Pelodiscus sinensis: one gene and its partners. The protein of the gene in region 2 purifies or fractionates together with the protein of the main gene of each other region. This does not show direct contact. Links are inferred from orthologs where the notes say so. Each region holds a gene or a part of one and is shown on either strand. Other genes may lie near its edges. The genes, in order: CKS2, CCNA2, ANAPC4 and PKMYT1.

Region 1 (7,910 bases), on a different chromosome or scaffold from region 2:
CTATTCTGTCCAACAAAAGCTAGAAAATCAGCCTTAATACAGTGTGCATTAATTAGTGTCTTAGTCATTAATTATGATACCCAGTAGCCAAGCTAACAGAAAACAAATACTGTGGTTAATTGTTGCCTGCTGGTGAAGTCAGGAGCTTTGTCTATGCTTCTAAAATTGAAGTGCAGCAACAGCAAAAATATATGGCAAAAGCTATACACAGACTAGCCTACACAAGCCAGCCTGAATCCAGCTAGCATAGGTAATACCAGGGCTTGTCTGTACTGGCAAGTTTTGTCACCAAAAAACCTTTTTTGGTGACAAAACCCGGAAAGTATTCATATTGCAACACAAGTTGCAAAAAATGGAAAATTTTGGCAACAAAAATCTTCAGTCTTTGTGACGGACTTTTCTCTCTCCCCTTTCCTTACTGTGGACAATCATGTAGCATGTACTACAGTAGGGGTTTTATTGAATTCCAGGATATACCCAGCAATGCCGAATTAGCCAGTCTGGCCAGCACTTTGAACTCCACTGCTCTACTGCCACCTAAACAGATAAACAAAAATGAGCTCCTCACACCTGCAAACTCTAGGGAACTTTAGAATCAATTTCCTGCTATCTGGCCCATTGGGTAGTGGACCTCGTGGCATTCTCTTGGGAAATGGGATGGCTATTGCTCAAGACGCTCTCTTGCTTGGAGCACCTCAGAGCTTTTTGATCTAATCAGTGTGTGGAGTAAAGAATTACAGCTGCGAGTGACCCATAGGCAGGGCCGTAACAAGGGCAGGGCAAATGGGGTGCTTGCAGCAGGCACATCATAATCAGAGGCTCAAAGATGCAAAAGTAAAAATAAGCTGCAAAAGTAAAGAGTGTGATGTCTAATAACCTAAGCAGAAGGGGCGCAGAATTAATATTTTCTCCCAGGCACAAAAATACCTAGTTATGGCACTGCCCATAGAAACTCAGATACATATGGTCACATTTTTCTCAAGCCTTGTGTGAAGGGGTATGGTCAAGAAATCCACATCGCACTTTCTAGTGCCCTTCCAAAATGTGCCACGCTAGCCCTTTCCTCATCGCATAGTAGGGATGTTAGCAAATATGTTTTTTTTGGTAAATGTGTAACTGTTGAATTTTTCACTGGTTACACTCTTACATGCAGGGAGGGGGCAGACAGCTACTAGCAGGATACAGAGGTGGGAGGCGGGGGAGAGGAGGGAGCAGACTTAAAAGACAATTCCCTGGGCGTATCAGCTCCCGCCTGCCCTCCTCCCTGCCCCTCCAAACTGTCTCAACACCCTGGTCCCGCCCCCGGGGCTTCCTGGCTCATATCCAGCAGCTGATGCTGTGGTTCTTCTGGCCAGGACTGCACTGGGTCTCTGCAGGGGTTCTCCATCTCCCCCTGGAGGAGGGAGGGAGGGCAGGGCCTGATGTGTTTGCACACGCGGGTTCATGTCCTCCGCCTCCGGGCCCTGCAGAGACTCTTATTCGATGCAGGTAGTCTGGCATGGAGCACGCTGGTGCACGCTTTCCTTCGCCGCTTCCAAGAGCTTCGATATGACCAGCAGCTCCTTTATTTGAGAGGTCTTCGCAAGACCTCTCTGTGCTATCGGCCTTCCACCAGGACTTCCTCCGGGTCTAGAAGCTGCTTGTGTTGACCAGGTCCTTGGGAGCCACCATGGGGGCAGACCTCCTTGCGGAGACTCTGCTACGCAATCCCCATCTATAGCTACGTCTACACTGGCATGATTTTCCGGAAATGCTTTTAACGGAAAAGTTTTCCGTTAAAAGCATTTTCGGAAAAGGGCGTCTAGATTGGCAGGACGCTTTTCCGGAAAAGCACTTTTTCCAGAAAAGTGTCTGTGGCCAATCTAGACGCGCTTTTCCGCAAAAAAGCCCCAATCGTCATTTTCGCAACTGGGGCTTTTTTGCGGCAAACACTACTGTGCTGTCTACACTGGCCCTTTTCTGGAACAGTTTTCCGGAAAAAGACTTTTGCCCGAATGGGAGCAGCATAGTTTTTCCAGAAAAGCACTGATGATTTTACATTAGATCGTCAGTGCTTTTCCAGAAATTCAAGCGGCCAGTGTAGACAGCTGGCAAGTTTTTCCGGAAAAGCGGCTGATTTTCCGGAATAACTTGCCAGTGTAGACACAGCCTATGTGTATAGGTGGTGGAGTACCCCTTGGTGTGCCAGAGGTTGGTTCTGGCAGAAGTTGCCAGAGTCGGAGACCTCCTAGACTATGACCAGGGAGACTGGGTGGATCCTAGGGTGCTCGCCCAGTGCATGGGGCTCTCCACCTTACATACTCCTCAGCGTGTACTTCAGGAGGTGAAGGACACTTTGCCATCCACTGCTTGGGTGTACCCAAACAGGGTCCTGCCAGAGGGTGCGCCCCACCCACCCCTTACCCCCAGCCCTCCCAATCTCTCCATTGGCTCCCAGTCCCACATATCTTCCCGACCGCCTCCCCCTCATCACCCAAACCAACTGCTCGCATTGCAGCCGGTCCCCTTCCAAACTGCGCCAGGGTCACCTGTACACGCTCGTGCTTCACACGCTCCACTTCCCCATTCTTGTGTCCCGCCCAAACACCACATGCCGGGACCTCCTACAACCAATAGAGGGTAGGGAGCCTGATGGGCTAGCCTCTATTCGATCTTGGTTCCACGGACCACTGTGTACATCAGCTGGAAAATCCTGCACAGTGCGGTGAGCACGGGCGCGTACTTGGCGCGGTTCACCCCCATCCCGGAAGCTTGCCCCTTCTGCGGCGTGAGGGAAAACCTGGCGCACGCATATCTTGAATGCGCCAGGTTGCAGCCCCTATTCCGGCTCCTCCAGAACCTCCTACTGAGGTTCTGGCTGCACTTTTCCCCTCACCTCTTCATCTATGCACACCCTATCCGTGGCCCCACAAAGTCGCGAGACCTCCTCGTCAACCTACTCCTGGCTCTAGCGAAAGCCGCTATTTACAACACCAGGAGTAGGATGTTGGACGGGGGGGTTCTCTGCGACTGTGGGGCCTATTTCCGTTCCTCCCTAGCTTCACGTATCCGGGGAGAGTTCCTCTGGGCGGCGTCCACTGGCTCCATCGACAGCTTTGAGGAGCAGTGGGCGCTGTCCGGGGTTCTCTGCTCGGTGTCCCCTTTTGGTTCCCTTATTTTAAACCTGTGACCCACACTCCTTGCCCCTTTTGTCATTATTTGTCCCCCGGAATTAGTTGAACGTGGGTCCAGCTGTCCCTCCCGAAAGGCTGGGGAGGGGCAAAGCCCGCCCACCTTCCCACAATTTCAAATAGGACAACCAATAGAGGGTAGGGAGCCTGATGGGCTAGCCTCTATTCGATCTTGGTTCCACAGACCACTGGGTACATCAGCTGGAAAATCCTGCACAGTGCGGTGAGCATGGGCGTGTACTTGGCACGGTTCACCCCCATTCCTAACACTTGCCCCTTTTGTGACGTAAGGGAGACCCTGGCACAGATCTATCTCAAGTGTACCAGGTTACAGCCCCTTTTTTGGCTTCTTGTATGTTGAGGTTCTGGCTGCACTTTCCCCCCCACCTGTTAATTTATGCACACCCCACCTGTGGCCCCACAAAGTCACAGGACCTCCTAATCAACCTTCTCCTGGCTATTGCCAAATTGGCAACCCATAAAACCAGGGAACAGAGGTTGGCTGGCTGAGGGGCCTGTGACTATGGGGCTTATTTCCATTCCAGTATCCGCTCACGTATCCAGGCAGAGTTCCAGTGGGTGGCGTCTGCTGGCTCACTAGAGACCTTCCAGGTACAAGTGGGCGCTGTCCAGGGTTCTCTGCTCAGTATCCCCATCCAGTTCCCTCGTTGTATCCCTTTGGCCCTCACACCGGTCCCTGTTTTCTCATTATTTGTCCAATGTGATCAGCTGGTTTTCTGGGCTCTGTGGACCCTCCCTGTAGGCTGGGGGGAGGTCCTTTAGAAGTGGGGGGCTAATGCCCGCCCACCTCCCAGACAACAAACAGTCTCTGCCCCTCCAATGCTGACTCTGACAGAAAGGCAGCAGCACAGGTGAAAGGGAGAGGTGGCTCTGTGGAAGCTGGCAGAGAGCCAGCTTTTAAGTGGACTCCCCCCTTAAGGACTGGCTCCTACTTGTCCCCCTAGCTACTGCCTCTGCGGGAGGCAGAGGGGTGGGAGGCGGCTCTGCAGGAAACCTGATACGCCCAGGTGTATCCGTTCATTGTGCGCACAACAACACACTCCCAACCCTATCGCATACTAGGGTGGTGAAAACCCGCCTGTCCAGTGGACAAAGCCAACCAGCCCTTGCGAGTATTCCCACGGCATAAATCCGTTGACACTAGGTCCTCAGTGCCCCCCCCCCCACCCCCCACACCAGGGTTTGACCCTTTATTCCCGGCCGGACTCAGGCTCCAACCCCGAGTCCCAGGTTCCAGCCTCGGGTCTGCGGGGCGGGATCTGCAAGGGGCGAGACGTAGAAGCGTTACGCCTGAGCCTGTCTGAACGGGACGCTGCAGTGTGCGGGTGCCATTGCAGGGGAGGGAGGGGTGCGAACGCGCATCAGCAGGACGGGCCGCTAGGCCGGGAGGGGCAGAGCTCAGCTGCACACGCAGCACAGCAAAATCTGCGAACTCGACCCATTCCCCAACCGCCGGCAACTGTAACTGTAACCGCCCACTGCAGCTCACGAGGCAAGCGCGTGTCTGGAGAGAAGCGCAGGAAGGCTGAACGCGCGCGCCCAAACCGACCCCCCCCCCCCCAACCTTTACCGGACGCGCGCGCGCAGCCACCCCGCCTTTAAACGTCCCACTCGTACCTTGGCTCCGAAAGCCTCTAATTGGTTGGTAGAGCGCGGGTGACGTAATCGTCTGACTTATGGGACAGGCGCGTTCAGTGATTGGCTGGCTCCACCCGCCAATAAACGTTGATTTGTTGGATTCAAATTGAGTGGAAAGCCGACCGGGTCGGTTATTAATCAGCGGGCGCTGCCTCAGGCTGAGGAACCGGAGCTGCGTCTTGCCGCTGTAGCTGCTGCCTTCGCCATGGCCCACAAGCAGATCTACTACTCCGACAAATACTTCGACGAGCACTACGAGTATCGGTGCGTAGGGCCGGGGCCGGTCCTCTCTGGTCCCTTCACCCCCTGTCTGTGCTTGGGGGGCCGCGCGTAGGGGTTTCGGTAAGGAAGCGCAGGGCGCGCAAATGCTTTGCCCTGCTGCTCCCTTTCTGGCTATGGGAGGGCGCGTGGGGGCTTTCAGGCTTTCTCCATCTGCCTCTGGCACAGCCGCCGTCGAGTCCGCCCTGGAAAAGGAGGGGGCGGCCGTTGCAGTGGCTCCCCGCAGGGGTCGGGGACACAGCGAGGGGAGCCTGGGGCGGTCGGGCTGGGCGGACCCTAAAAGGGCTCGCGGGCCTTGTTTGGCGCCAGTCGCGCTGTGTCTGCGGCTAAGGAGGCGCGCATCGCCAGAGCTGAGCTAGTGAGATCGCGGGAAAAGTCCTTGAAAGTCACTAGGGAACTCTTAGCAGCCGTTGCTGCGCCCTCGCAGGTCCCTCTCCTACTCGGAGCAGACATGCGTGTTGCGCCGTTGGCAGTTTCGACTGTGTTTTGCTGCTTGTAAATGATCCTAGTCTCTGGGGTGACAACAATGGCAACTCCCTGTCGGCAACGTCAGGGAGGCGCCTCTGGCTCCCTTATAACCTGATGGCTTTCACTGCTTCAGAAGCTCCGACTGTGGTAGTTGCTGCCCTAATCCCTTAACACAAGATCGTTGAGGCCACGTGGCCTGAGGTGGGCACAACCTTTTCCTGTGTAGCTGCTTTACAATGCAGGAGAGTCTTGGCAATTTAACACTGATGTGAATTAAGACCCACAACAACCTGCATCTTGGTAGTAAATATGCCATGATAGGGTAACTACTTCTGTTACATATAGGTAACCTCTATATGCCGGTTAAGAACAGAGAGCCCAAGGCCCCTTGTGTGTTTTTTTTTTTTTTTTGTTTGTTCAAGGCTGAAACAATGCTGTGAGACCAACTTGTAAATAGAGAGACAGAATGCAACTTGGACTGTGAGAGGAATATGTAAACACCGTTAAGTGCCCTATGAAATGTCCTATGTCTTAGTTTTGTGACTTTTTAAATTTTATCTCCCCAAGATAGGTTTCATTTACATGTACAAATAGATTAGTATTCAAGGGCAAAGGTCATATTCCTTTTGGTCAGCAGTTGACTTGGCAGTGATAAATCAGGAGTCATGGCTGTTTTGTGTTTCCTAAAACTACTTATCTGGTTAGGTATACAGAAGTTTCCTTTAGTTTCTTAAACAGTGTGGCAATAATTGCCAGGGGCGCAGTGCTTTAATAACTATGCACTAGACCAGTATTTCTCAACTTTTTTTTATGAAGTACCCCCTTTAAAAATTATAGGTACCCTCCAGTATCTACAGTTTTCAGACATACAAAATTTTCTACCATTGCAACACATTTGTTTAAATGGCTTAATCGTAACCGGGTGGGTGATGGAAATGTTTGGGTGTAAAAACTACAAAAATAATAAAGCGCTGTAAATCTTAACACAAATTCAGTTTTCTCCAAATTTCAATTGTGTTCTCCCCTCCCCTCCGCCTTCTCTTGAGTACCCCTGAGGGTATTTGTACCACTGGTTGAGAAACACTGTAGTAGACTAGCTCCTATTTCAGGTGAGGGTGCATGATTACATCTTCCCTTACATAGCTGAAGGTTTAACATCTACTCTACTGGTTCTTGGATTTCAAGATTTAGCACATCAAATGAATTTAGCACATCTACATGAGCTAAAACAGTTTATATGTTTTCTAGGATATAGGGATGTGAACAACTTGTTGACTATCGACAAGCTAATTGACTAGTTGCTTTCCCTACCTTGCTGCCTCTTGTCAGAAAAGCAGCAGAGGGAAGGGGTGCTTCAAGGCAGCAGTACTACCTGGGGCCAGACCCCGGATTGCTGATTTGAAATACTGCATGCAGCCCAGGGCCAACTGGGGACTCCCCATTGATCCCAGGCACCATGCTCCCTGAAGCGCTTTTGCCTTTTAAGTGTAGCAACAGCCCTGCTACACTTAAAAGGCCAAAGCATCCTTATTGACTAATCAATACAAATGGCATCGACTGTTTTATTAGCCAAATATCAAAATTTTACATCCCTATTAGGAGGGCTTGACAAACCGTGGCGAGAGCTACTTGCCAGCCCCACACCACACATGCGTATGCACAGCGCCGGTGAATGGGGCGCACGGAGCAACTGGCTGAAATCTACTTGTCACGGGTGAGTAGAATCAGCGGTTTGTCAAGCCCTTCCTATTAGGATAGTGAATAAAACTCCCAGGAAAGTTGAGAACAGGTAGACTTCCTTCCAGCAGCTGTCACAGAAATAAATTGGGAGGGGTAACAGTGTCTTGGGAAAAGTGTAATGGGCTTCCCACTGGTGGTCAGAATCATGAGTTGCCTGATCTTGTCGGGAAGTTTTTTTGGTGTCTGGCAGACTTTGAACCCTGCTCAAGACATTGCTGTAGGAAAGGCAGTAAAGGTTATGGCCTACAAATACAGGTGTTATCAAAGAAACTGTTAACATTTTTAGTAATAATGTTTTCAACAGACACGTGATGTTACCCAGAGAACTTTCAAAGCAAGTACCAAAAACTCATCTAATGTCTGAAGAGGAGTGGAGAAGACTTGGTGTCCAACAAAGTCTGGGCTGGGTCCATTACATGATCCATGAGCCAGGTAGGTAGAATGCTATCATAGCAATGAAACAGTCATTTTTAACTGACTGAACAGGTAATCCTTGGAATTAAAAGGACACCCAAAAAACTGATAACTGCCTTGTTGCAACTTTGGGGAAACTAGCAGCAGCAGCAGCAGAGAAGCATTGGAGTCATGGGCATC
Region 2 (6,931 bases):
TAATTTCTCATCTTCAAGTAACTAAAACTTGCTCGCAATGTAAAATGAGTGTGTTTTGATTCCATGCCTTTTATTTATCTTTTACAGCTATTTTCTTCTATTGTTTACCAAAATAACAGCAATAATATCATTTTATAACATTTTTACAGTTTCAATATCAAAATTACAATGAAAATGGAATATTCACATAAAATATATTACCACAGAAAAAATTAGTGTAAAATCATCCAAAAGCTCCTTGGGAGGAAAGAAAGCAAAATGATATGTATGAATATCCTGAACATCTAATTAATAAATGTTACTTTAAATGTCGTATGGGATCATGGTTAAATACTCAAAGGCATAAGCACATTTAATTATTAAGTGAAACAGATAAACCTCAAAAGTCTTATTTTTTTACTTCCATAGCTAGAAATTTTTTCACCATCTTAGTCATAGAAACTGCCCCCCATTTTCAATGTTATATAAGCAGTATTTTCCTTGGACAAAAAAACCAAGAGCAGTTAATTTAAATCTTAACAGTATTTTTGTCTGTTTAGATCAATTGGCTTTTGATCTACCAGGCAATAGAAAATCATTTTTTATTAAATACAAATAAAAATGAGTTAACTCAAAGTAACTATTTCCTGCTTTCCCTCCTCAAAATACAAAAACCAACTAGTAAGTGGGAATGGGGACAGTGATTCCATGTTCCCTATAAAGGTGTGATCCTGAAGTCTCTTAAGTTGGTGAAATGAGTTGCGATGGTTTGTGTTCAATGTTTAGTTGATAGCTGTTGTCAGAGAATATTATCACAATTGGTATCTATGTCAGTGTCAGTAGCGTAGAGGGATGGGACATACCTAATTATTTTTTGACACCCACGAGTGATATCTCCAGAAATGGATGGTTACATTAATGTGATAGAATAGGGAAACTTACACTTCTAGTGCCATTGCTGTGCTAGCGTTGAAGAAAAAACAGATTTCAGTCTTGTGTACTATAAGTCCAGTATTTTTAACACAAGCACTACATTAACTGTAGTAATAGGCCAATCTTTTAATTAGTTTATTTATATCATCTGTGTTTTAAAATATTACAGCCCAGAAAATGTCTCAAGCCATAAAAATGAAATCTGTGATTTTAAATTCCACTACAAATCTCCTAGCATTTACCACACACTTCAAAATTCACTCTATAAGTAAAGGTCTGTATATGTAGGTGGTTTTGTAATACTAAGAACTTTTACAAGAATCACTTCTAATTTATGTTGTTAGAGCAAAGTAAATGATTATTGAGAAATAAGCACTATAAATGGTGCCCTTATAATAAGAAAGATTTCACATACAGCATCATCAACCATTTTGTGCCATTTAATAGCATGAAAACTGTCTATAAAGATGATAAAATATGAGTAGTAATAATAACATTAAATGAATCAGTACAGGCAGTCCCCAACTTACGCGGATCCGACTTATGTCGGATCCGCACTTACGAACGGGGCTTTTCTCGCCCCGGAGCTCACGGGCGGCAGGTCGCCACCCGTGTCCTCCGGGGCGAGAAAAGCTTCTCCCGGTCTCCCTGGTCTGCTGGGAGGGTCCAGCAGCTTTGCTGGACCCCCCCAGCAGACCAGGGGTACAGGAGCAAAGCCGCGGAGCACGCCCGGGCGCGCTTGGGCTGTCCCACTGCGGGCGTGCTCCGTGGCTTTGCTCCCCGTCTCCCTGGTCTGACCAGCAGACCAGGGAGAAGGGGAGCAAACCTGCGGAGCACGCCCGCAGTGGGACAGCCCGGGCACGCCTGGACTGTCCCGCTGCCCGCGTGCTCTGCGGCTTTGCTCCGCGTCTCCCAGGTCAGCAGACCAGGGAGACGGAGCAAAGCCGTGGAGGACTTGGGCGGTCCCGCCACCCCCGTCTCCCTGGTCTGCTGGGGTGGGGTGCAGCTAGTGCCCCCCCCCCAGCAGACCAGGCTTTTCTTGCCTACCCCTGGGGTTGAGCAGCTGGGGGCTGCCGGTTTGGTCAGTTTCAGCAGCGGCTGAATCAGGACGCCTCGGGCAGAGCAGCTGGGGTGCTGCTGGGTTGCTCCAGTAATGCCGAGGAGCCGCGCTACTGGAGCAACCCAGCAGCACCCCAGCTGCTCTGCCCCAGGCGTCCCCAAGTCAGCCGCTGCTGAAACTGACCAGCGGCTGACTACAGGAAGCCCCAGGCAGAGTTGCTCTGCCCCAGGCTTCCTGGAATCAGCCGCTGATCAGTTTCAGCAGCAGCTGACTTGGGGACGCCTGGGATTCTTAAGTTGAATCTGTATGTAAGTCAGAACTGGCGTCCAGATTCAGCTGCGGTTGAAACTGATCAGTTTCAGCAGGCGGACGCCAGTTCCGACTTACATACAGATTCAACTTAAGAACAAACCTACAGTCCCTATCTTGTAGTAACCCGGGGACTGCCTGTAACCTGAAATAAAAGCAAGGAGTAGTCCTGCGGCACCTTAGAGAGTAACAAATATTTATAGTGTCATAAGCTTTCATGGGCAAAACCTACTTCTTCAGCAAACTCATCTGAACTGGGTTTTGCCCATTAAAGTTCACGATACTATATATATTTTTGTTAGTAGTTCTGTGGCCCCTAGAGACCGGCGGTGTGTCTACATTGGTGCGATCTTGCACAAAAGCAGTCGCTTTTGCGCAAAAACTTGCTGCCTGTCTACACTGGCTGTGAGTTCTTGTGCAAGAACACTGATGTTCTAATGTATGAAATTAGTGCTTCTTGCGCAAGAACTCTGATGCTCCCGCTCAGGAATAAGCCCTCTTCCGCAACTGTTCTTGTGTAAGAGGCCAGTGTAGACAGGCAACATGAATTTCTTGCACAAGAAAGCCCTATGGTTAAAATGGCCATCAGCGCTTTCTTGCTGCAAGAGAGCATCTACGTTGGCATGGATGCTCTTGCACAAAAGCACATGGCAATGTAGCCGCTCTAGCTCTGGAAGTAGGAAGAAGAGATCCTCCGGAAAAGGGCTTTATTCCGGAGGATTGCGCCAGTCTAGACTCTCTTTTCCAGCTTTTCCCCAAGCCGGGAAAAAAGCGGCAGCCATGTTTATTTAAATCCCGCGGGGGATATTTAAATCCCCTGCGGATTTCCCTATTCTGACTTGCCTGCTTTGCATGCCTCTTCCGGAGAAGGGGCCAGTCCAGACGTAGCCTAAGTGTTTTAAAAGTTACAGACTAACATAGCTACCCTTCTGAGACATTTGAAATAAAAGATCACTTACCTATACAGGGGCAAAAAGGAATTCTTTTTCTAGAAAGCCAACTCCCAACCAGCTCTTGGGTCCTTCCTTATGTAGAACTGGAATCAGGGGCATGGGAGGGGAAAGTGATTCTCAGTAGATTAGGGATTTTAAGTTAGGTTCAATGGTTCTCAGCACCCCCCCCCCCCCCATACAAATTATTCCAGCACACCTGCTAGCAAAAAGAGAGGCGGCAAACAATTCCTAGTGATAGGCAACAAACAGCGAATGGGGGGCTGGTTCACGCTGGGGCAGAGTCTAGCTCGCATGTTTTTTATATTTAAAACTACCCCTGAGTCTGGGACCCTGGAGGAGCCAAAGGCCATTGAAGTCGAGTACGAATCTTCATGGCCTCCAAACGGGGCTCGGATCAGGCCCCGCGCCGGGCAGGAGAGTTAAAAGTGTAATGCGAGCCCACGGGCGTGAATCTGCACCGAACGCCCCCAACCCTCCTTTCCCCCCCGCGACCACGTGCCGAGCGGTGCGGGATCGGGGCCGCAGCGCTCCTAGGGCAGTGACGTCACCACTCCCCCGCCCCGGGCGTTCTTTCTCTTCCCCCGCCCCGCCCCCAGCGCGGCCCGTTTGGGCCCTGCGGCGTGCCGTCGGCGGCGTGACGTGCGCGCCCTGGGCTCCCCATTGGCGGATTCAATAGTCGCGGCGGGCTACTTGAACGGTGGCAGCGGAGCGGGCTGGCGGAGCCGCCGGCAGCGCGAGTCCCCTCTGCCTCCAGGGAGCGGCCGCGGAGCCGGGTGCCCGCCGAGCCCCCCTTCGTGCACGCGGCTGCCGCGCCCCGGGGACGATGCAGACGGGCGCCGCGGAGCAGGAGAACCAGGAGAATGTGCCCCCCGGCGGCAAAGCGCGGCTGCCCGCCGCTCCCCCCGGGGGCCGCCCGGTGCTGGCGCTGCTGCGGGGCAACCAGCGCCGCCCGGCCCAGCCGCAGGCAAGGCGGGGTGGTGCCGCGGGGCGGGGCAGCTCCGGGGCTCGGCTGGCGGCCGTGCCCGCGTCTTTGGGGGGGTTTGCACCGGGGCTCTGCCCCCTGCGGGGCCGGGGCTCCTGTTTCGGGGTCCCCCCGCTGGGAACAGCAGCCTGGCGCCCGCCATCTTAGGCCCGCGCTTCCCTGCGCGGCGCCCCGCGGAGCCGCGAGCTGTCAGCAGCCGGGCGGGGGGGGGGGGGGCAGCCTAGAGAGCGATGCACCCGCGTTGCCGGGAGCTGCGCGGCCCCTGCAAGGCTACGACCCCCCCCTCCCCCCCCCCCCCGCGGAGCGCGGGCCTCCCCTCCGCGCGCGCGCTGGCGGCTCCTCGCTGGCAGGCAGGCGGCTTGCTCAGGCCCGACCTGACCGGCTCTGAGCAGCGCCGCGGGGCCTCTGTCGACAGCCCTAAATCGCGATACAAACCGCGGGGCGTTGGGCTGCGCTGGAAACCTGGCGCGATTTGTGCTGCTGTTACTTGGGGCTCCCCAGCCTTGCTGGGAGGAAGGGGAGGGCTCCCGGGAAACACTAATGGCCAACTCTTGTCCTAGACTGCTGCTGCTCAAGCACCCTGGAGTATTACTGATGAAAACTGTGGCAAGGTTCCAGCTGGGAAAGCAGGTAGCAAACAGCCTGCTTTTACCATCCATGTGGATGAGCCTGATGGAGAGCGTAAAAAGAAGCAAGCGGTTCCTAAAAAGGCAGTATCCCATGAAGAAGTCCTAGGCTTAGCTACAGCTGTAACCTCACTAGGAGACAGAAAACCCTTGGCACCCATAGAAAATCCAATGGATCTTAGTTTTGGTAAGTATTTACAGAAAATGGTGTAATAAGAGAGATTCTGTCTTCGAAATTGGCATGCTCAATTCAGTACTGGATTCTTGTGCAGTTGGGTCCTTCCTGATCCAGCACCCTAAGACCTGACTAGTCCCAAACCAAGGAATTTGCTGGACCAGAGAAGGTTCCCTGCCACAGCCCTGAGCTGCTGACTCTGCCAGCTCCGGGAAGGGCCCTTACTACCTCCAGCCTTGGCTGGACTGCCAGTTGGGTTACTGGCCCTGCTGCTGTTGCCGCCCTGGCAAGAAGACTACCTGCTGGGCCCAGGAGCCTGTACTGCTGTAGGCTTCCACAGGCTCCAGTCCCATGCTACTGTGGGCTGCTGGAGGTTGGCTCTGGCCCTGCTGAGGCTGCTAAGGGCTTGGGCTCAAGTCCCAGTTCCATGGCAACACGCAGGCTCTGGCCCCACTTCTGCAGGCTGCCCAGGGTTCCAGCCCCACTGCTGCTAGCCCTAGTCCAGTGGGCTGCTGAAGGCTTGGGCACCTGCCCCACAGCAGTCTACGGGCTCTGACATTGCTACTGCCCTGCCACAGGATGTTGCTAGCCTGGTCCTGAGCTGCTGGGGGCTGCCCTGACCTTGTCCCAGTGCTGTGGGCTGCACCCTTTGCCCCATCCAGCTGCTTCAGCCCAGCCCTTCCTAAATTGCCCTCCTGCTACTTGGATTCTCTGATCCAGGAATATACATGGTCCATTGCTGGACCAGAGAATTCCCATTTGGGGAGGTGAAGCTTGTACTGGCTTCCTCCATACAAGACTAATTTAACTGGGTACTATATAAATGTACAGAAGCTTCAGGGGGTAGCTGAGTTAGTCTATACAGGGAGGGGGGGAAACCAAGAAATAATCTGGTAGCATTTTATAGAATAACCAAACATGTAGATGTTATCGTGAGCTTTCGTGGGCACAGCCTACTTCTTCAGATGACTGGAGTTCTGTGCCCACGAAAGCTCATGATACCATCTACATGTCTGGTTAGCCTATAAAGTGCTACCAGCTCATTTCTTGAGGTTTTTATGTATATGTGTGTGTATATATATGTATATGTAGTTAGGACTGAAAGTTACAAGTCTTATCAAACACAAGAAAAACCTCAAAATCCTAACGAACTTTTCATAGACTACTGATAATAATGGTGGCTCTGGCTCAGGGAGGGGGCAATAAAACAATGGCCATTTGCCATGGTTAGCCTATGGTGGGCTGCTGCCACCATATTTACCTGCGCCTCCACAGGTACTGGCGCCTGCCGCTCTCGTTGGCTGCAGATCACTGTTCCTGGCCAATAGAGCTGTGGAGGCGCAGGTAAATGTAACAGCGAGAGTCCACCAGGGTTTGCCTTTGGGGGACTGGATCTGGCTGACAGGCTGGTATCTGCCTGCATTAGCTGTCTCCATTAGACATGGAGACAAGAACTGGGGACTGCAAAATTAATCTGAAAGTAAGGGCATCTAAATGTTTGAATTCATTGGGATGGCCCTCTACTACAAAGGGATGTGCAGGTGTGAGGGGGTTCGCGTAAAGGAAAGTACAGTTGGAACCTCTAAAATCCAGGACTCTCTGATCTGGCAGTGATGGACCATGGATTTCGTTGGATTAGAGCCCTGGCTGGCAGTGAGGAGTACATCCCCAGCAGGGCTGGCATGGTGGGAAGCACAGCCCTGGCCAGGGCTGGTGGCAAGGAGCATAACTGCACTGAGGCTGGTGATGTGGGGAATGCAGCACCACCGGGGGCTGGTGTGATGGGAAACATGGCCTTGGTTGAGGCTGGTGTGAGAGGAGTGTGTGGGGGGGGGGGTAGGTGATGCAGCCCCAGTCATGGCTGGTGGCAGGGGAGCACAGCCCCAGTCGGGGCTGGAGTCTGTGGGGCCAGCA
Region 3 (7,564 bases), about 65 Mb from region 2:
TAGGGTCGACAGCAAGGGAGCCAGAAATGGCCTCCCCTGGTCCTGCAAAATCCTTCATCTGGGACTAGTCAGGTCCCGAGAGTGCTGGACCAAGGATGTCCAACCTGTATCGCTGCTAGGCATAGCCCACCATTTCTGTTTTCCAAAAATTTTAATTGTGGAGTAATACATAGCCAAAATGTAGAGAGAGCTTTATTCATATTTATCCCTACCATATTTCTCAAAGTAGTAAAATCTGCATGAAAATGACTGACCTTACTTTTACATGAAACTTTGTTTGCTTCCAGTTTTGGTGAGATCAAATATATATATCTTTCTGGACTATTGTAGTTCATGCAGACCGTAGTTTACTACTGTATTGTCAATATGTTTCTCCTGATATAAATTATTGGATTAACATGGGCTTAAACACCTGCAAATGTATGTTGTGGTTAGTACAAGACTCTATAGTTATTAATTGATAACCTATTACATAGATAGCATTACCATAACAGATGGAAAAAAATACTTGTTAATTATTTAGGTTTTAAATCCTGTGTTCCATACAGATTCTTATGTTTGTACAATTTCTTCAATAGTAAATTGGGCAGTGCAATTGTTGAACATGTAATGTCAACAATCACCATGTTTTATATTTGAGGTGATCAGATGTATACTTTTAAAAGTTTTAAAAGCATTTGAGTCTAAAATTACAATACTGAGTAAAGATACATCTATAGGTGTAAAATAAATTTAACCCCATGTCAATGTTGAAGTAAAAGTAGATTGTAATATCTCTGCAGAGATAATATTACAATCTTGCAAGTCGAATTTCAAAGGGTATGTCTACACTACCCTCCTAGTTCGAACTAGGAGGGTAATGTATGCATACTGCACTTGCTAATGAAGCCCGGGATTTGAATTTCCCGGGCTTCATTAGCATAAGCGGGGAGCCGCCATTTTTAAATCCCCGCTGCTTCGAACCCCGTGCAGCGCGGCTACACGGGGCTCGAACTAGGTAGTTTGGACTAGGGTGCCTATTCCGAACTACCGGTACACCTCGTTTCACGAGGAGTAACGGTAGTTCGGCATAGGACCCTAGTCCGAACTACCTAGTTCGAGCCCCGTGTAGCCGCGCTACATGGGGTTCGAAGCAGCGGGGATTTAAAAATGGCGGCTCCCCGCTTATGCTAATGAAGCCCGGGAAATTCAAATCCCAGGCTTCATTAGCAAGTGCGGTATGCCTACATTACCCCGCTAGTTCGAACTAGCGGGGTAGTGTAGACATACCCAAAGAAATTTACTTTAAGAGCTGTTGTTCTGACTATATTTGAGATTTTAGTCATAGACAAGTCCTTGTATTTGTGTTTACTACAATGTACAATTCACTATAGCTCTGATAACATGTAATATGTTTGTCTATTCCCTTGTTTTCCAGAGCTGACAGAAAGCGGAGGCTAAAGAAGAACAAGATAAAAATGGATAATGTTAAAAGACCATCTGTGAAGCATGCTACGTTCCCACGGAAAAAAATAAAGAAAAAGAAAAACACTCTTGCTTGTTAATACTCAAGTTACCTAAAACTGTGAATGATTTTACAGCCAATTTTTGCTTCCATTTGCTGTAAATGTTAATATGATATTTTAGATAAAGCCGGTTTGAATTAAAAATGTCTGCTTCTTGTAATATTACCTCAGAACTTTGGCAGTAGGAGAAAACTGCTATCCAAGCTGCTCTTTCCATTTGTGAATATGTTCAAGTGTGATATCTAAAACAGCTTATATACTAGTCTAAACCATGACTGCACTAAAAGACAAAATGGAATAATATTGTACAGGACTTGTAAATTATTGGGACAAGGTTTTTAATAGCTTTTAATTAACTTGATATTGACCTGCATTTTTCTCCTTGATATTGACCTGCATTTCCACCTGGCTCTTTTGCTTTCCAAACACCATCTACCATGCCCATGTAATGGATGGCAAGTCAGCCTTTTGTTCTTTATCTACTGGTATGTTGGTTGTTTCGTGGCAGTAATGGAAACCCGTGTATTATTTCTTCTAGATAACTAGATACATGTAGTTTTTAAACTTTTATCCACAGTTGAGACATTATACAATGCAGAGACAACAAAAATGCAGAGGCTGTTCCCCTCCAACTATCCAGTATTTTTAGCATATCAGTGGTAAACTGGACAGTTTATAGATTTAAGGTCAGAAGGGACCATTGCAATCATTTTGTTTGACCTCACTATTACTGGCCATCCAACTTCTCCAAAATAATTCCTAGACAAGTGCCCCTTGTTATGTGTCAAGTATGGGATTTTTTTAATAATTAAACTTAACTGTATAATTTCATTTACTAGTGAGGAGCAGTCTGCAGTTCAAAGAAACGCATATAAATTATTTTTGATGCTGCGGTAAACATGAATATAGAAAATTCAAAGGAAATGAGCAATGCAATGGAATTAAACTTTCTATAACTATATTGGTTCCATTCAAGTAATTGTTCTCTACCTAGTAGGGATATTAGATACACCAAATATTATCAGCTACACGGTTATTCAGTAGTCCCCGGCAGTGGCGCCAAGAGCCAGTGTGCTCCTAGACCCACTTCCGGGGAGACCCCTGTCACCCTTCAATGCTGCATCTGGTGGCAGGCAGGAGCCAGTCCACAAGGACAGCCAATTAAAAACCAGCTTCTGCTTGCCACCCTGTGCTGCTGCCTCTGATAGTGACAGCAGCAGCCCCTGTCCATGGGGGCCCCAAGTTCCCTGTGGACAGAGGCTGCGCCGGCATTCCACAGAGCAGCCTCTGTCTGCAGTGAGTTTAGGTCTGCCATGGACAGAGGCTGCTCCACAGCAGCATGCTCTGCCCACGGTGAGCCTGGGTCCACCACTCCTCTGCGCTGCTGCCTTTGGGGGCAGGTGGACCAGCTCCTCCCTGAGTGCCGCCTCCCCCCCTGCTCCCTCACAGAGGCAGGAGGAAAGGGGGACAGGCAGCACCACAGAGCTCACTTAAAAGCCAGCTTCCCATGTGCAGTGGTTCCCACCTTCTCCCCTACCCCACACACCCTATGCTGTGCCTCTCTATCAGAGGCAGCAGTGCAGGGAGGAGGCCAGCTGCTCCATGGGATCCAGTGCCCATAGGGAGATGGCTTAAAAACCAGCTCTTGTGTCCCCACACCTTTGCTGCCTCTGTCTCAGAGACAGTGGGGGGGAATGTGTGTAGTTGATAGAATTAACTGACAAACCTAGGCTTATTCGTTAATTGTGTAGACGATAGAGATGTAAGCAAGTAGTCAGCTACTCACTTTTCCCACCCCCCCGCAAGGTGGGAAAGGTTCGAGCTTTAATTCGAGCTACCTAGTCTGTGCCGCATGTACCCGTGGGCAGGTAGTTCAAACTATGGGGCATTTAAACATGGCGGCACCCAGGAATGTGCAAATGAAGCCTGGGATATTTAAATCCCGGGCTTCATTTGCAAGTTTGAATGCCTCCATTAGCCACCCTAGTTTGAACTAGGGTGGCAGTGTAGACATACCCTAAGCGAGCACCTGCGGTCACACTCTGATGCATTTGAGCAATATTTCCCAAATTCAAAAGATCTGAGGGTTGGGAAAGAATGGATCCATAGTCCATTTCTTCCTGCCAACAAGGTGTCATCCTTGCCATTGCTGCAAAAGGATCAATTAGTTGATTGAGCTGGCATGTGACAGAGGACTTAAAAGTTTAATTAATTCATCTTCATCTTCCATCCTTCTGGATTAAAACAAAGGATAAATACCCAGAACTCAGCACCCTAGCCCTCAAGGCTTTGCTGCCATTTCCATCTTCATACTTCTGTGAAACACATTTCTCTGGAATGACTGCTACCGAGACCAGACATTGGAATAGGCTTGACGTGAGAAACACACTGGCTGTGTCTAGATGGGCAAGTCTTTCTGCAAAATCATCTGCTTTTGCGGAAAAACGTGTCAGCTGTCTACACGGGCGGCTTGAATTTCCCTGTCAAGTATAAGGCCTCAATTTGGCTAGTGCTCCCAGACTCCTCACCACCCTTCCTCCCCTCCCCCACTGCTGCCCCAGGCTATTGCCTCCAGGCCCTCTACCTTCCACCTCCCTGCAGGCAGGGTAGCCTCAGTCTTCCAAGCTGGTCCGGCAACTATGCAGCTGCAGACTTTCTGGACCTGGAGCTCCAAAAGACCCATAAGCATGCATGGGCTTCACTGTCAGAGCTGACTCCCAGCTACCTTTCCCTTTCCCCCTTAAAGGTACAGAGGGATTTTCGAACAACTACCCAGGCACCTCAACTCACCCTCATTAGTAACCGCCCCTCGCCGCGCCCGGGAAGGCTGGGGCCGGTGTACCGGGACCCCGAGGGGCAGCGCTGTGGAGCTGCAGCATCTCCCTGCTGCACGCGTTGGGCCGCAGAGGGAATTCCGCGGGGCAGTCCCTTGTGTTTCCCGCCACACGTGAGCTGCGGGGCGCGGCGGCGGCGCAGTGACGAGGCGGGGGCCGCCCCGGAAGGCGGGAGAGCCGGGCGGAGCCGCTTCTCGCGGGGCTGTCGCTGTGCTGCGTGCGGCTGGACGGGCTGTGGGCTCCGGGCGCGGAGCGGGCAGCGGGATGGGGCGCGACGTGGGAAGGGCTTAAGGGGGACGGGGAGGTGAGGGAAGGAGCCCGGCCCGAGCCTGCCGGTGCAGGAGCCCCCCGCCATGCCCGCTTTCCGGCAGGTCGGGGAGAAGCAGCTTCCCCAGGAAATCATCTTCATGGCCTGGTCTCCCAAGAGGGACCTCATCGCCCTTGCCAACAAAGTGGGGGAGGTAAGACGGGGCCGGGGTAACGGGGCAGCTGCAGGGCCCGGCTCAGCGAGCTGGAAACGGCGTGTAAGAAAGGCACCTCCTCCGACAGCGCTGCTGCGCTCCGCCGCTGGGGGAGCGGGGTTCCCTGGCTGACCGCCCCTCTTCGCCCGCAGCCCTGCTGCCTGCTCCCTCCTCCAGTAGTGCCTCAGGGTTCGCCAGAGGCGGCTTCGCTCTCCCTGCCCCTGCAGCAGCGCTCTCCCTGCGGCTCCCGGGGAAAGAACTCCGGCCAGCTGGGCAGTGCTGTGGGGAGGCTAGCACTGGGGGAGGCTAGCACTGGGCTCTCTCCACCCTCCCTTGTCATTATTGACAGCCAAACGGGCCTCCTTATTCTACACGCCATCTTCAGCCACAGGAATAGTGCACCATAGCATGTGTGAGGGTTTTTTAAGCCTTCACATGAGAATGACTTAGTATCTTGGGTTTACCGTGTTGGCATTCCCAGTGCTGTACAGCTAAGTTAGCCGAGAATTCTGTTCTTTCATGCTGTCTGCATCTGTGCAGGAAAGACCTTGGTTTGTTGTAGCTGCTTAGTGTGTTGCAAAGGCAGAATTTAGTGGGATAGTGCTGTGAAGAATCTGGCACTGTGCTAGAACATGCTGTATTTTAAACAGTGAGCAGACCTGTGTCACCCTAAAGACTAGCAAATATATCATGAGCTTTTGTGGGTAGATCCCACTTCAGATGAGTTGGAGTGGAAATGACAGAATCCAGAGTATATAAACAGGAAAAGCAGTGTTAATAACGGTAATTGAGTCAGGCTGGATCTGTCCCATTCATAGTCAGTATTCTGTCTATTCCTCAAGATCCATAAATCTGGAAATCCTGGATGTTTCATCATCTCATGCAATAGCACCCTTAAACAGGATAATCTGGCTACATTGACTCTTTCCTCACGCTGCATGCTACCAGCACTCCTATCTATCTTTGAGACACCACTGACTTCCTGAAGAAACTACAGAACATCGGTAATCTTCCTGAAAACACTATCCTGGCCACTATGGGTGTAGAAACTCTTTATATTGGTATTCCATACGAGAACAGACTACAAACTGTCAGGAACACTCTGATGATGCCACAATACACCTGGTGGCTGAGCTATGTGACTTTGTCCTCACCCACAACTGTTTCTGATTTGGGAACAGTTTATACCTTCAAGTCAGTGGCACTGCTGTGGGTACTCGCATGGCCTACAATATGCCAGCATTTTCATGACTGCCTAGAACAATGTTTCCTCAGCTCCCATCCCTTGCCACCTGTCCTCTGTTTATATTACACTGATAACATTTTCATCATATGGACCTTTGGGAAGGAGACCTTTGACGAATTCCACAGGGATTTCAATAATTTCCACCCCACTATCAACTTCAGCCTGGACCAGCCTACACAAGAGATCCACTTTCTTTACACTACAATACAAATAAATGATGTTCACATAAACACCACCCTATACTGGAAACCTACTGACTGCTATTCTTACCTACATTCTTCTAGCTTCCATCCAGGACACATCACACAATCTGTTATCTGCAGCCAAGCCCTAAGGGTACATCTAGACTACATGCCTCTGGCGACAGAGGCATGTAGATTAGGGTACCGGACATAGTAAAATGAAGCGGCGATTTAAATAATCGCCGCTTCATTTTACTATGTCCGGTACCCTAATCTACATGCCTCTGTCGCCAGAGGCATGTAGTCTAGACGTACCCTTAGATACAATCAGATCTGCTCCAATCCCACAGACAAACACCTACAAGATATTTATGAAGCATTTTGAAAATTTAAATACCCACCTTGAGAAGTGAGGAAACGTTGATAGAGCCAGACTAGTACCCGGAAGCCACCTTCTTCAAGACAGGCCCAACAAAGAAAATAACACCACCACTGGACATCATCTATATCCCCTAGCTTAGCACGCCCCAGCATTTCATTGATAATCTTTAATCTGTACTGGAAAATGACCCCTCACAGATCTTGGGAGGTAGGCTGATCCTTACCTGGGGGTGATATAGGTGATAAGACAGTCCCCCTCCCAACCTTAAGTAAATACCAACCGCCATACTCCTCATCACAGATACACTCACCTAGGAACCTACACCTGCAACAAACCCCGTTGCCACCTTTGTGCACATAGGGATACAAGTGACACCATCGCAGGACCTAACCACGTAAGCCACAACATCAGGGGCTCATACAATTGCACATCGTCTAATATAATATATGACATCAAGTGCCATCAATGCCTCTTTGCCATGTATATTGGCCAAAGCAGACAGTCTCTGCCACAACAGATTAATGGACATAAATCCGGGAATGGTAGCACACATAATCCTGTAGGGGAACATATTAACCTCCCTGGACATAAAAGCTCATGATATATTGGTTAGTCTAAGGTGACACAGGACTGTTCATTGTTTTGAAAGTTACAGACTAACACAGATACTTTGCTGCTGTATCTGAGTATCGTTTTCAGTCTTTGATGACTTTGGGGAGCATCCTATTTTCCTAAAGTGCTTTAAAAATTGTTTGCTTTTAATTGTCAGTATTGATTTTCTTCCTGTGTTGTGTTCTCGCACAATTCTGATATTCTTCAGATGTGTTCTGGAAAAGGGAGATTGTTTAAATGTTTAGCCTGTCACCACAAGATTCTGTATTCATCTTGACATTTTTCATGTTCAGATCATTGGGAGGAAAGAGCAAAAAAGCAATAATTGCTGCTGGAGATGGA
Region 4 (7,238 bases), on a different chromosome or scaffold from region 2:
GGCCCGCCCTGCACTACACCCCTCCCACGCACGCTGACGCCTCTGCGTTTCCTCTCCCACAGGCCTTGGGGGGTGGCAAAGGCCCCAGTGCTGGTAATACCCCGTGCAGGCCCCATCTCTGTCCTTTGCCCCAGTGTCTCCACCCTTCACGTGCCCCGCAGGCTGTCCTCTTCCCCCGCTCCCGCCAGCTGTTTCTTCTCCTTCTGTCTAGAGATCCCTACTGCTCACACCACTGGCACCCTGAGGTGAGCCCAACTGCCATGCCCCCTCCCCTCCCTGGGCAGAGAGGAGCTCACCTGCCGAGCAGCCTGAAGGGTTTGAAAGAGATTTATCTATCCTTGCCTCCAAAACCCACAGCCCCCTGCTAACCATCCCCCTCACTGCTAGCCCCCTCCCTCTCCACCCCCCGCCCCGATGCTTCCAGCCTCCAGTGCCAGAGCCCACAGTGCAGAAGCCAGATTCTTCTGTGCTCTAGGTTGGTCTCATTCTGGGATCTCCCCCCCACAGGTTATGGGGCAGGACCCAGAGTTGGCAGCTACCCCACAGCTCAACAAGGTAAGGGGCATGAGCTAAGCACAGCACCCCCTGCTGAGAGAGCCAGAGCTGGAGTAGAAGGGGCTCCCCCCCCCCGCTGCTAGCACTTTTACCCTGCTCCCCACGGCACCCCCCACAGCACCCCTTACTGGGAGAGGCCAGGGCTGGAGCAGTGCACCCCAATCTGGATTCTCTTTGCTCTGTAGGAATCGCTGGAGTAGGCGGTGGATACCTGGCCAATGGGGCACAGCCAGGATACAGGAATGGTAAGAGGACCACAAATTGTACCTCACTTCCCGCCCCCCCTCCACATCCAGGCTGAGCCTGTCTGATCTCCCATCTCTCTTCTAGGCTACGGTGCAGGAGGGAACAGTCACCCTGGGGCCGGACTCCAGTCAGGATATGGCAACGGTGTGCCCAGTGACAGAGGGAGGAGAGCGAGGGGCGGGGCAGGGCTGGGCTGGCAGGGGGCTGCAGGGCAGGAATGAGGGGTTCTGGCCGAGCTGTGGGGGGAATCCAGGGCTGTGGGTTGGAACAGAGGTGCACAAGCCAAGCTAACTGCCTTAATCTATTCCATCCCCAGGTGCCCAGGCTACCTACTTAGGGCATTTTGCCAGCCTTAGCACAGATCTCTCAGCTGCTAAATATGGTGAGTCCTTCTGACCGCAGAGCCAGGAATTGCTTAGCTCTGGGAAGTAGGAAACGGGACACAGGGCCTTGTGCTCCAATCCAAACCCAGTACGGGGGACTGGCTGGCTGAGGGAGGGGCAAAGGAGTGTGCCCCCCATCCTGACACCCTGTCCATGCTGTAGGCCTGGGCCAGCTCCCAGACCATGGGCAGTTCCAAGAGACCATGCCCATTGGTCTGGGGGGAGACTATGGTGCTGGGAAATGAGGTAGGTGTGAGTAAGGGCTCTGGGCTCCTACGGTGGGTGAACTTGTCCATAGAGTTGCTATAGAGGGAAGTGTGAAGGGCAGACACCCCCCCCCAGAAGATTTATTTCAGGTGCAGCAGCAGTGTCCCCAGTAAGCTGTGCTCTTGGGTGGCCTCCTAGAAAACATTGAAATGCTGCCCAGCTGACTGGCAGAGTGCCCACAGCCGCCTACATGTGTTTCTATTGGTAGTGCACATCCACACATGCCTCGGTGCACAGCAATCTGTGCCATGCCGCCCAGTATCTTCGTCCCACCCCCACCCTGTGCAGGGATGTGGGCGGGGGGCTGGGATGCCCCTTGCCAACCCTGCTTTGCCTAAACCAGTGGTCACCAACCAGTAGATTGGGATCTACCAGTAGATCCTGGAGCCTCCCGCAGTGACAGCTCCCTTGGTTCCCAGCATACCGTCCCGCCCTGCCCGTAGGCAGTGCAATCTCCTGTCCCTGTGCTGAGATCTCCACTCACCAACACTACCATGTTTCCTCCTCCAGGTGGTGCAGGGCAACTAATGTACAGGGCACAACAGGCTGGGCCCAGTTCCCTGGATGGTAAGAGATGGTGAGGGGCTGTCCAGTCACATGGGTCCCCCCTTGCCTCTGGACACATGTATACTCATCCCCAGGGGCTCAAAGCCCCTTCCTGTGCTAATTTCCTGCCCCCTCCCCCAGCAGGCAACGGGAATGGACTGGGACATGCAAACGGAGGGGATCTGCAGGCTAACGGACTGGCTGCTGGTAAGATCCCCACCCTGCACCATTTGCTTCTGGGACTGAGGGAGCTGGGAGCTCCCCCCACAGCCATTGCTCCTGCCCCACTCCACTCCACCCCTCCTGATAACTCTTGTCGCTGTTGCAGGGGGATACGGGCCACTCACAGCAGGGCAGGCTCCTGGAGGCTATGGACTCTCCCCAGCAGCATATGGTAGGAGTGTGTGTGGGGGGGAGTGGGGGAGAGACGCAACATTTTATCCTATTGTCTTGTGATGCAACCAAAACTGCTCTTGCATGCGTGTCCTGTGCCTTCCCCTGCTGTCCAGAGAGAGTCATTCTCCTTTGGGTAGCAGACGGGGATGGCCAGTGACCAATTCTCATCTGCTCCCACCCGCTTCTAGGAAGCAAGGAGGCCAAGTATGGGCTGAACGGCTTTCTGGGGAATGGATACAGAGGTAAGAATTGGGGAAGGCATGTGTGTTGGTGGGGGGTGAATCTTGGAAACAGGGAAGAGCTATGACTCTTGGAGGGGATTATCTTGGGGGAGGACACAAGCTAAAGGAGCCAAATCTCTGCAGTTTGGCTAAGGGCTTGACATGGGCAGTGGCTGCAAATGTCACAGCAGGGTGAACTTCAGGAAGAGTACAGTATTTGGGTAAGGAGGAACGCAGCCCAGGTAAGACGGATGATGGTATATCCCATATAGAATCAATGCCCTGTTATCTAGAGAAAGAGAAGGCAGGGGCTCTGGGAAGGAATAGCTCTCTATCCCCACATGTGTGGGTGGATGCACTAGTCTCCACTCACCCTTGAAGATGTGCTGCTCTCTTGAAGCTCTGACCTCATGCTTCTCTTTATGCCAGGTCGCTGCCCTCCCGGGAAGTGCTGAGTCCCCGACCTTCACTTGGGGAACTTCGCACCACAGGATGGCAGAAGCCTACCGCTTCTGGTGCTGAAAAAGCAAAGAATTTCTCCTGAGATAAATTATCGTCTCTTTCTCTTTATTTTTAATGGCTACAGATCTGTCTTTTTAACAGAAAAACAAACAGTGACTGGTAAATGTAATGTGTTTGGAAAGTGAGGCTGCAACCCTTCTGACCTCCCTTCCTCTTGGGCTTGGCCAGCGAGGAGAGAGGGGTTTTAAGGGTAGGCCTGTACAGGAATACCGGGAAGGTCGGAGCGGGGTGACTCGGTTGTTAACTCCCTTTTACTGGCTAGGCAGAGAATATGTGTTTGTAGCTAGAGAGTGGGATGTGGGAGCGCTTGCAATAAAGATCCCGCACAAAGCTGAAGTCTCGAGATCTCTGTACGCCTGCGCGCTGTCCCAGTTCCACTGTCGTTCACACCTCCCACGGCAATTGGCGTTTGCTCTCCGCACACTCCGGCAGAGGCTGGCTCTTCTCCAGGCACGTTGTGAAGCTTTTCTTCGCCATCATAGTGCTAGAATCGTCATTAAGAAAAAGTAAAGCTGAGTCTCTGTGGAAGGATGGGCAGGGGGCCGTCCAGGCAAGCGGGGCTAGTCCTGTTTGCCCCGGGCAAGGAGAGATGGGGGGTGATTTTCTCTGGGGGAGCTGACATAGTGGAGGGATTCCCACCCCACACCCAACCGTGATTGGTCAGCCCCTCCCCCCATGCAACCTGACGAAGCAGCTTGTCTCCTCACTCCCCCCCCCCATTGGCTTGCCGGGGGGGGGGGGGGGCCTGGACATGGGGCACCTGGGGGTCGTGCTCTGGGGAGTTCTCCCCACAGGAGTGGGGGCGAGGGTGGTGAATGTGGGTGAGGCGGGGGAAGGGAATCGCTATCCCTGGGGGGGGCTGTCCCTGAAGAGGGGGGTGGCAGTGGAGGGGGCTGCCCTGAGGGGGGGTGGGGGGCTGCTACTGCAAGGGGCTGGGTTGGGGGGAGCTTGGCCACACTTTGGTTGCCGCGGTGCATTGTGGGCGGGAACGTGTCTCGGCCGCGCTCCCCCCCCCGCCCCTCGGAGCCGGGCTGCGGTGGGCGGGGTGAACGCGCGCGGGAGGCGGGGCCACCCCGGGCCGCCGCCGCTGATTGGCTAACGTGGTGAGGCGGGGGAGGACGGTTGGCGGCTCGCGCCGCGCCGGACGGTTTTGGCGCCAAACGGAGCGGCGGTTGGGCCGGCTCGGGGCGCGCGCGGGGAGCCCGCCACATCCGGGTACTTGCGGCCAGCGAGCGCGGCGCTCCCCCCTCCCCCCGCGGGGACCGGGGAGGAGGTGAGGCCCCTTGGCCCCGCCCCCCGGGGGCTCTCTCGCGCTGGGGGGCCCACGCCGAGCGCCCCCAACTGCGTCTCTGTCAGAAACCCGCCCCCCCGTCACTGGGCCCCCCCGTCACTGGCCCCCCCGCTGTCAGAGCCCCCCCACTACTGGGCGACCCCCCCCGTCACTGACCCCCCCCGCTGTCAGAGCCCCCCCGCTACTGGGCGACCCCCCCCCGTCACTGACCCCCCCCCGCTGTCAGAGCCCCCCCGCTACTGGGCGACCCCCCCCGTCACTGACCCCCCCCGCTGTCAGAGCCCCCCCGTCACTGACCCCCCCCCGCTGTCAGAGCCCCCCCGTCACTGACCCCCCCGCTGTCAGAGCCCCCCCGTCACTGGGCTGCCCCCCCCCGTCACTTACCCCCCCCCTGCTGTCAGAGCCCCCCCGTCACTGGGCTGCCCCCCCCGTCACTTACCCCCCCCCGCTGTCAGAGCCCCCCCGTCACTGGGCTGCCCCCCCCCGTCACTTACCCCCCCCCCCCGCTGTCAGAGCCCCCCCGTCACTGGGCTGCCCCCCCCGTCACTTACCCCCCCCCCCCCGCTGGCAGAGCCCCTCCGTCACTGGGTTCCCCCCATTACTGAGTCCCCCCCACCCTGCTAGGTCCCCCCTTCACTGAGCCCCCTGCTGTGTCAGGTTGCCCCACTGGCCCCCCTGCTAGCCCCCATCACTGACCCCCCCTGTCACCAGCCCCTTTCCCCCAAGCTGGCCCCCTGTGTCTTCCTGGCTGAACCCCTCCCCGCGCTGTACCCAGCCCGCCAGGGCCCCCCACTTTGCCCAAGGCAGGGACCGTGCGGGGCGTCCCCCACCCTGTTTTTATACCAAGGGACTGGCCTGCAGAGCCTATCCTGCCCTCCCCACACCCCTCGCCCATGCCAATGGGTGCTGACCTTGAGACACAGCCACCAACCAGCCCCTGGTGCTCTCCCCAGCTGCTGTCCTCTTCTCCCTGCAGTGTCTCCCCCTGGCAGAGCCAGCCATGCCGCTGCCCCTGGACTACGCGGGCACCGAATCCCAGCTGAGCCGCACGCCCCTGCCCGTGCCCGTGCCGGCCTTCTTCCGGGAGGCCGAGCGCAGCTTTTCAGTGAAGAAGCCGGGTCGGCCACTCAGCTACACCCTCCCGCCCCGGCCACGCCACAAGGGCACTCTCACTGTCAGCCGGGTCTTTGCCAGCCGCCAACCGCAGCCCTGGAGCCAACCTCGGCCGCGCAGCGTCTCCTTTCGCAGCTCCCAGGATCGGGCGCTGGCCCCACATAGCCGCCTTTACAACCCTGCCCGCAGAGAGCCCTTCTTCAGTCAGTGCTTCCAGCTGCTGGGCCGGCTGGGGCGCGGCTCCTTTGGGGAGGTGTATAAGGTAAGAGGGCTAAGGTGGCAGATCCCAGCAGGGGACGGGATGTGGGAATTGGGGGCATCTGGGATGAGGAATTCTAGCTAAGAGATGCAGAAATTAAGGGGATCCCATCTAGGGACATAAGCGACTAGCCGAGTTGTCCACTGGTTGCTTCCCCTCCCGCCGGCTGCCTTTATCCTAGGCAGCAAGGGCTGGGGGAGAAGGAACCAGTGGAGGGAAGAGCCCCCTTGAAAGCTGAGGCAGAGCGCAGGGAAAGGAGAGGCACCACAGGGGACCAGACTCGAGCCAGGCATCACCTGTCCCGGCTTGCACCTGGTCCCAGACGCTACGCCTCTGCTTTTTAAATGTAGTAAGGGCCTGGCAGCTCTTACGACATTTAAAAGGTAGAGCCACAGCAGGTTTAGCTCCCGGGATTGCACAAGCAAGGACTACTTACTCCTGGCTCATGCCGCCCCAGGGAGCTAACCCTGCTGCAGAGCTACAGTGGGGGCAGCGTTCCCCCCCCCCCGTCCCCCCTCCAATTGACTAATCAAGTAGTCAATGGAAATTCCATCCACTACCTGTTAGCTGATTTTCCACATTTTAACATCCTTAATCCCAGCTGGGGGGTGAGCATGACTCATCCTGAGCCTGTTCCCCTGGTGGCTGATTCAGACTCCCCCAGGTTTGCAGCATGGAGGGTGAGCATGGAGTTATTTTGTGGGGAAAGGAAGTAATCTGTTGGGGGGAATCTGTGTCCCCCATGGCTGACCTTCCCTCACAGGTGCGCAGCAAGGAAGATGGGCGACTGTACGCAGTGAAGCGCTCAGTGGAGCCATTCCGGGGAGCCGGCGACCGACAGCGCAAGCTGGCCGAGGTGCGGAAGCATGAACAAGTGGGGCGCCATCCCAACTGCGTGAGCTTTGTGCGGGCCTGGGAGGAGCGGGGCCAACTGTACATCCAGACGGAACTATGCCCGGCCAGCCTGCTGCAGCATTGTGAGGGACATGGACCGCTGCCTGAGGGCCAGGTGCGGGCCTGCCTCTGGGACCTGCTGCAGGCGCTGCGCCATCTGCATGCCTGCAGGCTACTGCACATGGACATAAAGCCAGCCAATGTCTTCCTCACCGAGCGCCACGTCTGCAAACTGGGCGACTTTGGCCTGGTGCTGGAGTTGGACCGTGGAGACCTGAGTGATGCCCAGGAGGGTGACCCACGCTACATGGCACCTGAGCTGCTGCGGGGGGAGTACAGTGAGGCAGCTGATGTCTTCAGGTGGGGCCTCTAGAGTCAGGGATAGAACCCAGATGTCCTGTCTGACTCCCAGCCCAATCCTTCTGTCCACTACTAGACCCATCTTCTGGCCTCCACTCCACGCACCCCCTTCCTTGACCACTACCATCCCCTCACCCCATGTGCTCCAAGGCCAGGCACCCAGATGTGCCAGAGAGCAGAGGACC

The links.
Region 1: the proteins of CCNA2 (region 2) and CKS2 purify together in Homo sapiens (affinity purification with mass spectrometry; 3 studies listed by BioGRID and IntAct, counting the BioPlex papers as one, with this or other methods). This does not show direct contact. The link is inferred for Pelodiscus sinensis from reciprocal best matches to the Homo sapiens genes CCNA2 and CKS2.
Region 3: the proteins of CCNA2 (region 2) and ANAPC4 purify together in Homo sapiens (affinity purification with western blotting; 3 studies listed by BioGRID). This does not show direct contact. The link is inferred for Pelodiscus sinensis from reciprocal best matches to the Homo sapiens genes CCNA2 and ANAPC4.
Region 4: the proteins of CCNA2 (region 2) and PKMYT1 purify together in Homo sapiens (affinity purification with mass spectrometry; 3 studies listed by BioGRID and IntAct, counting the BioPlex papers as one, with this or other methods). This does not show direct contact. The link is inferred for Pelodiscus sinensis from reciprocal best matches to the Homo sapiens genes CCNA2 and PKMYT1.

Annotation. Positions count from the first base shown.
Region 1 is NC_134716.1:47,243,331-47,251,240, forward strand, and holds the start of CKS2 (cyclin-dependent kinases regulatory subunit 2), read left to right. Parts: upstream 1-4,909; 5' UTR 4,910-5,034; coding exon 5,035-5,093; intron 5,094-7,620; coding exon 7,621-7,748; intron 7,749-7,910. UniProt on the Homo sapiens protein: Binds to the catalytic subunit of the cyclin dependent kinases and is essential for their biological function.
Region 2 is NC_134715.1:37,072,344-37,079,274, reverse strand, and holds the start of CCNA2 (cyclin-A2), read left to right. Parts: upstream 1-3,919; 5' UTR 3,920-4,057; coding exon 4,058-4,198; intron 4,199-4,776; coding exon 4,777-5,029; intron 5,030-6,931. UniProt on the Homo sapiens protein: Cyclin which controls both the G1/S and the G2/M transition phases of the cell cycle. Functions through the formation of specific serine/threonine protein kinase holoenzyme complexes with the cyclin-dependent protein kinases CDK1 or CDK2.
Region 3 is NC_134715.1:101,835,245-101,842,808, reverse strand, and holds the start of ANAPC4 (anaphase-promoting complex subunit 4), read left to right. Parts: upstream 1-4,549; 5' UTR 4,550-4,692; coding exon 4,693-4,800; intron 4,801-7,564. Other genes in the region: rRNA N(6)-adenosine-methyltransferase ZCCHC4, read left to right, coding at 1,418-1,544. UniProt on the Homo sapiens protein: Component of the anaphase promoting complex/cyclosome (APC/C), a cell cycle-regulated E3 ubiquitin ligase that controls progression through mitosis and the G1 phase of the cell cycle.
Region 4 is NC_134714.1:134,508,835-134,516,072, forward strand, and holds the start of PKMYT1 (membrane-associated tyrosine- and threonine-specific cdc2-inhibitory kinase), read left to right. Parts: upstream 1-4,221; 5' UTR 4,222-4,351; exon of another isoform or gene 4,352-4,409; intron 4,410-5,403; 5' UTR 5,404-5,427; coding exon 5,428-5,802; intron 5,803-6,562; coding exon 6,563-7,053; intron 7,054-7,238. Other genes in the region: GREP1 (glycine-rich extracellular protein 1), read left to right, coding at 508-555, 741-800, 886-945, 1,118-1,183, 1,962-2,018, 2,139-2,204, 2,326-2,391, 2,582-2,635 and 1 more. UniProt on the Homo sapiens protein: Acts as a negative regulator of entry into mitosis (G2 to M transition) by phosphorylation of the CDK1 kinase specifically when CDK1 is complexed to cyclins. Mediates phosphorylation of CDK1 predominantly on 'Thr-14'. Also involved in Golgi fragmentation.